Linked DNA regions of Notamacropus eugenii. The protein of the gene in region 1 interacts with the protein of each later gene in a pairwise test. Links are inferred from orthologs where the notes say so. Each region holds a gene or a part of one and is shown on either strand. Other genes may lie near its edges.

What was found.
Region 2: the proteins of CDC73 (region 1) and HSF2BP interact in binary tests that used the Homo sapiens proteins (3 or more experiments, as listed by UniProt). The link is inferred for Notamacropus eugenii from reciprocal best matches to the Homo sapiens genes CDC73 and HSF2BP.

What each region holds. Positions count from the first base shown.
Region 1 is NC_092873.1:449,563,789-449,567,538, forward strand, and holds the start of CDC73 (parafibromin), read right to left. Parts: upstream 2,706-3,750; coding exon 2,575-2,705; intron 1-2,574.
Region 2 is NC_092876.1:415,254,166-415,257,915, reverse strand, and holds the start of HSF2BP (heat shock factor 2-binding protein), read right to left. Parts: upstream 2,577-3,750; 5' UTR 2,474-2,576; coding exon 2,426-2,473; intron 1-2,425. UniProt on the Homo sapiens protein: Meiotic recombination factor component of recombination bridges involved in meiotic double-strand break repair.

The DNA.
Region 1 (3,750 bases):
CACCATAAAGAAACAAATTAGTTTTGAACTTCTATGTTGCACAATTTTTAAATTAACAGAATGAAGACAGTGTAAAATAGTTTAAAATCTTTTGATGGGAAAAATGTCACTATACTATATTCTTTTTATCGCTGTTAGATCATATTAAGTGTCTCCCTAGAAAATTTACACAAAACACCTTGACCCAGGTCTTTAGTTTGCACATTCAATACTACACCACAGGATATTAGGTTCCAAAACATAGTATACATGTGTGTATGTACACACACACGATACTTTCATACAGTGATTTCCAGTTGGGTTAGTTAAGTCTAATAAAGCCATGCTAAAACTTTAAGTACAAAATCAATTCTATCACAGTTTGCATAGCAAAGTTTTTTTCATCCCATTCTCATTCAGGCTTGGATCATCCAGCCAGGAAGTTCAACAGTTTGGCTTTTCTTCCTTTTTGCAGCTCACATTCTGGGAATCTCACTGTTAGCACTTTTATGAAAAGAAGGAAAATATGAAATTAAGAACAATATACCAAGCTAATTTATCAGAAAGTTCAGGAGGGACACTGTTACTTGGAAGAACCAGAGGTACGAAGAACTGGGTTTAAATCCTACCTCTGGGTACTTAGAGGTAGTATAATACAGGGGAAAAAACACTGAATTTGGATACAGAGGATTAAGGTTCAAATTCTACCTATCACATTTACTACCTTGCAAGTCACTTAACCTCCATGGGCCTAATATCTCTCATCTGTAAAATGAATGGAGTTGTACTAGTCAACCTCTGAAGTCTCTTCCAGATCTGGGTCAATAATCCTATAACTCTTAACATCTCAGTGCTTCAGGAAACTGCCTGGGACTTTATTTGCTAAAGGTCCCTAGGCCTACTGCAAACACAAGAGCTCCTTCCCAAACCTACATATTGTTTAAAAAAATTCAATGACTAAAATGGAATGTCTTAGAAAGGAAAAATGAATACGTATGTAAGGATATAGCACTGATATCAGTGTACACAAATGTAATACATGCCAAATTGGGGAGTGGGGGAGGAACACCTTATACTTCAGCAATACAATTCTGAATATGTGATTCAAAGGTCTCCCTAATCAGGTCCCAATATAGCTTTCTATCCTGGTTTCCTACTACTTTTCTAATCCCCTCAAACTGGACTACTTCCTCAAACATATCCTAAGTTACCTTGCCTCTTATATTGTTGCACATGCAGTTTCATCTTCCTTTAAAGTCCTCCCTTTCCAAGTTCCACTTGTATAAACTCTGCATATCCTTCAAGAACCAGCTCAAATACAGTCAAGAGTGAACATTTCTTCTCTTAAGTCCCAAGGCATTTATCACACAGCAATAAATATCTATGTGTCACATCTAATAGACTGTAATCTCCTTTCAAATAGAGTTTGCACTGTTTTTTGTCTCCACACTTCCCTAGCTGCTCAGTGAATGTGCTTCATAAAACAAAAACACACAATAATTTTAAAAAGTTTTGTGAACCTATGCAAATTTTATTAAGGAGATACTTTTAAGAAAAACTGAATATAACATGCTATACAAAAATCAACCAAGAACATTAAACTCTTCTGTATTAAGAATTCGATATGACAAAAATTACCTAAGAATAACTGAATTTCACCTGGCCTTTCAACTATAGTTCAAGTTCTACACCTTTCCCTCTGCAGAAGACTGAAGTTTTGGCTCCCACGAGCCTAAATGTTAGGAGACAAAACAAACCTCACCAAGCACAAGACGGACGTAAGTAAACGACAGTAAGGGTCCTGTGCCCCCAAATTCCTGATAAATCACAATTTTAGCAAAGCAAAGAAACACAAAGGGACTTCCTAATGTTCAAAAACCAGACCTAAAAAGGTAAATTAGGGCCCACACAGGTAATCATATTCCTTTGCTCCATCACACCATCTTTTAAAAAGGCTCATTCCTTATAACTACTCATCTCCATTAGAGTGAACTTCTGGGGAGCAGGAACTGGGTTTTTTGCCATTCTTGGAGCCTGGCTCAAAGTAGGCGATTACTGCATGCCACTTGACTGATGTCCACCAGGCACCTACCGCCTTCGCACCCACCCTGGCAGGGCATCATCCATCTCCCAGACTAGCAATGACATCCCTAAACTGCGCTAGGTTCCCACCCGCCTACCTAGCCCCCTCCTCCCCGTCTGAGTGCCCCCAACAGCGTGCTCGGACCCCTGGACGGCGGAGAAAGGACGAATGCGGGCAGGAAGCGCGAGGTGGGGGGCGAGCGGGCGGGGGAAGGGACGCCCCAACAACGCCAAGCGACCCGCCAGAGTCCAAGGCTCCCCAGAACCCCTTCGGTCCCGCCCCCCGCTCGCTCCCTAAAGGTTTCAAGGGAGCGGACACGGGCAGGGACGGCCCTTCCTTTGCCCCTCTGGCCCCCGAACTGAACTCCGGCGTCGGGGGAAAACTTTCCCCGCCGCCCGCTTCCCCCGTCTCCTCTTTCCCCAGGGAGTCCGGGCAGGAGAGCGGGGAGGGGGCGCTGTCCTTCCCCGGCCCGCCCCCCCACCCCCCCCGCGCCCCGGCGGAGCTTCACTCACCCCCAGATCACATAGTTGGTCTTCACGTTCTTGGGCCAGGAGAACTCGCCAAAGATCACCTCGTCCCCCTTCACCACGATTTCCTTCTTCTGGATGTTGTACTGGCGCAGGACGCTCAGCACGTCCGCCATCTTCCCCCCCTGCGCCTCGGCCGCCGCCGCTACCTCGGCCGCGTCCTCTCCGCCGGCCCCACAGCCTCCGAGCCGCCTGGGCCGCCTGGGCCGCCTCCCTCCTCCGGGCTCCTTGCTCCTCCCGGCCGGCAGCCGGCAGCCGCCGTCACCAGTACGACGCACCAACAGGAGCGGCACTAACAGCCGCCCGCGAAGACGACGGCCCCAGACACCTAGGCAGCTGAGGACCCCGCGTTATCGGGCAAGGCCCCGCCGCCGGCTGCCCGAGCTGAACGCCTGAGCTCGAAGTGCCTCCGCTGCCGCTGCCGCCGCCGCCGCCGCCGCCACCGCGGTCCCGCTGCCGCCAGGGGGAGCCGAGGCCTCCCGAGAGAGGAGCTCGGCCAGACACGCACGCGGCGCCGCAGACCGCGCAATCCTCACACGCTCAGTCTAGACTGACCGGGGTACGCGCTTGTGATGCGCGTGCGCGTGCGGCCCGAGCGCACCCGGGCACAGCGCGCACAGCCACGCGCCGCTCAGAAAGCAGCCGACTTCGGGGCGTGGCTGACGCGCGGTACAGGCAGCTCTAGCCCACCTCGGCGCGGCGGCCCTCGCCGGGTCTTCAGATCTAGCCACTGTGCCGGTGGTGTTCTGGGCTTGCTAGGTGGCTGTGCCTGACTCCTCCGGGCTCATGCCTACTTCTGCTCTTTCTTACGACCTGTGGAGGCGCTTTTAATGTGCATGGCGCTCTCTTCGCCTGTGAATCCCACCTTGGGTGGGCTAGAAGCTCCAGGAGAGCTGGAGGCTGGTATCTTATTCCTAGAAGGATGAAGTCTCGTCCGCAAGCCTTCGGGAGAAAGGCGAAACGCAGTCCGGTTCTCTAGGAGTCGGCCAATCAGCAGTTGTTCAGCGGCTGCTGTCTGCCGGGCACTATGCCCATCGCTGGGTAGACCAGGGTTAAAAAAAGTCCCTTTCCTCCAGGAGTTCATGGTCTAACGCTGCAAAGAACTGTGCGCAAACAAGATACATGCGACAAAAACTGGAGATAATCCCAGAGAAGGCTCTA
Region 2 (3,750 bases), on another chromosome or scaffold:
TCCAATCTATACCTGAAAAGAATTCCCATTATAGACATGCATGACAAAAGGTCATGTAGCATATGTTTGAAGACCTTCTAGGAAGGAAAATCCACAACCTCATCACACTTTTAAAAAACAGTGCTGACATCAAATCTTAATGTGCTTCTTTGTAACTTCTACCACCTGGGGGCTCTGCCCTCCAGAACAAAACTGAACAAATCTAATCCTTCTTCTACATGATAACTCTTCAAATACTTAGGGACAGCTACCATGTTCTCCTTGAGTCTTCTCTCCTTTAATCTAAATATCCTCAGTCCTTTTGACAGACTGTCATATCATGTAGACTCAAGGCTGTTTAGTATTCTATCGCCTTCCTCTTAGTATTCCTCAATTTAACAACAGCCTCTTAAAATGCAATTCTCAAAACTGAACATACTGTTCCAGGTAAGTCTAAACAGGGCAGAATACGGTGGAATTGTTATTGTTATTGCTGAGTCATGTCTGACTCTTCGGGATCCCACTGGAGGTTTTCTTGGCAAAGATACTGGAGTGGCTTGCCATTTCCTTCTCCAGCTCAGTTTATAGAAAGAGAAACAGGCAAAGACGGTTAATTGACTTGCCCAGGGTCACACTGACTAGTTAGTGTCTAAGATTATATTTGAACTCCAGAAGATGAGTCTTCCTGACTCCAGATCAGGCACTGTATTCACTTTTGCCACCCACCTGTCTAGTGGGATTATCTACTCTTTTTGCCTGTTTCTATTAATGTAACACAAGCCCTTTTTGGCTCTGAGGACTGCCATATACTACTGCTAACTCAAATTAAACTTAATAGTCCATTAAAATCTCCAGACCTTTTCTGAAACTGAAAACTATGCCTCTTCCAATTTGTATTGGTGAAGCTGATTTCCTGTACCCAAATACACAATTGTAAACTTAACCCTATTGCATTTTATCTTACTAGATGCTATTCTACTAATCTGTCAAGATTTTTTTCGGATACTGACTCTATTATCTTGTGTTAGTTACCCGTCTCAGCTTTATACCACCTGCAAATGGACAAGAATACTGTATTATTATCTAAGTCATTGACTGAAATGTCACAGGACCAAGCTAAGGACAGATGCTTAAAATACATCACAAAACTCCTCCTGATAAATGAATTCCAGCTATCCCCCAAGTTCTGAATCCATCCAATTGTACTATAAGCTAGTGTACATCTCTTTATCTCCTCCACATAAATAGTATTAAATACTGCATATCAACTTTGTTAAAAATCTATGTAAAGGACCTGTATGGCATTCTCCTCAGCTCCCAGTTCAGTAACCCTATCAAAAAAGGGCAATTGGTCTGTCATAGACTGTTAACTAACCCTCTGTAATCAACACTTCCTTTTCTGGATGTTTAACAACTATTTCTTGAATGACTTTTCCCATCTCATCACCCCCAACTGTAAAAATGACAATACCCCATGAAGTATGGCATGTATGCATAGTCTGTATAAGTGTTCTCTGGTACAAAAATCCCATGAATGGCCTTAGGTTGCCCCCCTAAGAAATCAGGCCCCAAACTGGCCTCCACTCTGGGTCTCGAAAAAAAAGAATCTACTTAAGTGCATAATCTTCTGTAGCCACTGGGAGCTTTACTGCAGTGAAAGCAGCCGGCTTTTAGCAGGAAGAAGGATTAGCAATTACAGAGGGGCAGGGGCTTGTTTTCATAAGGACAGGATAAGGGAGACAAGGGCATCTCATGACCCAGGACGGGGGAGGGGAGACAAGGAATTCCAAGGACAAGGGGGAAGTTTTGCGGTATTTTATGGTATTCCAAGATAAGCGGAGACTTTAAGGGGCCAGGAAAAGGGCAGCTCAACCGTTGGGGCGCCTTTAAAGGATGAACCAGGGAAAAGGGCAGCTCAACTTTTAAGGCCCCTTTGTATCCACATCAACGCAGAATGCCGTGTAGACGGATCCAACTCCCACCCGTGTGCTTCACCAAGCCATGGTGTAAACTTATTTGCATCATGCCCGGCAACAACAGGTCAAACGAAAACGGGGTTCGAAGAGTATACAAATAGGGGGCTGCCCAGAACGAGCCTTGCCCCCCTCCCATTTCAAAGATTTCAAAGACAAGCCGGCCCGGCCCCCTTCTCCCTCCCCCCACACGAGGACGGCAGTTTTGCGGGGGGACCCCCAAACAAGAGGAAGGCTTCCGCCAAGGTGCCACCAGGGCCAGGCCGGGAGGAAGTGGGGTCCGGGCTCCCCAGCCTCCCATCCCCCACCACACACACACACGCCCGGAAGGCGGCGGGAGGGCCGCGAGCGCAGGGCTCCCCGGCAGTTCAAATGTGGAGCCCGTCTCCTAGGACACGGAACAATATAAACAGCTGTAAGGCTCTGGAAAAGAAAGGGAAAGATGCGGAGCCGCCTCGGGCCTCCTCACTGACCCGGTAGGTATCCTCCCCGCCCGCCGTAACTCCCGCAGCGTCCCCCATCGCTGCCAGCGGTCTCTAGTGTTTGCGCCTGCGCGGCGGCGTCACGTGAGGCTCCACCTTGAATGAGTGGAGGAGTTGGGGAGGGGCGGGGCCGCGTCGGGGCGGGGCTGCGTCGGGGCGGGGCCGCGTCGGGGCGGGGCCGCGTCGGGGAGGGGGCGGAGACTCAGGTGCTGCGGCAGATTAGGCGAGCTGTTCTCGGAGACCTCGTGGTGCTGCCTGTGATCGCGCTGCTCTGCCCACTGATGGCTACGCTTCCGATGTTGTGTTTGTCTTTCCTTCTCGAAGACGATCTTGACGTCAAGAGGATGACATGACTTGCAGTTGACTTTAACTTGAGGGAGGGAGGGCTGTGTAAGGTCACCAACCTCACCTTCTTCTCCTGAGCCTTCTGGGTCCAGTGGCCTGATCTTCATCTGGAGATGGCCCAGGACGCAATGGAAGACCTGGCCCTTTCAGGCTAAGGTCCTACCACATCCTTACTTTGAGTGAGATACACCCATTCACTGAATAGGCTTCTTTAATAAAAAAAAAAAAATAATCAAACTGGGAGGGGAAGACTCTCAGGGTTCCTAGGTAGAAGAGAAACAATTACTATTTAGTAAAGTACACAGTGTGGCACTGAAGTCAGGAGACCTTCCTTTGAATCATACCACCCACACTTAACCATGTTTCATCTTTGCCTAGCCAAGGGGTGGGGAACCTACATCCTCAAGTACAACTCTTTGACTGAATCCAAACTGCACACCCCTGGGCTGTCATTTAACCTCTCTGTGCCTCAGTTGCCTAATTTGTAAAAATGAGACCAGAAATACAGCCTAAATGAGATAGAGAAAGCAAAGCCCCCCTTAAGTGCTATTCATATGTCTGTTATTACTGTTATTTGAATAGCAGCTGGGTGGTGCAGTGGATAGAGTGTCATTTCTGGAATCAGATTTAACTTCCATCTTAAAGAGTTCATATCTGACCTCAGATACTTAGTTGTGGAATCCTGGCCAAAACATTTAATCCTGTTGGCCTCAGGTTTTTCATCTATAAAATGAGTTGGAGAAGGAAATGACAAGCCATTCCAATATCTTTGCCAAGGAAATCCAAAAAGGATTCAGGAAGAATCTGACACAACTGAACAATAACAGATATGAACCTTAATTATACTTCATCTAAAAGCATGGCCAGAATTCAGCCATGTTACATCAATCCCATCCAGACCAAACACCAGTGATCACCAAGTGAAGCATCACTTAAGTGACTCAGGAAAAGCATGGCTCTGGCTCTTCTTT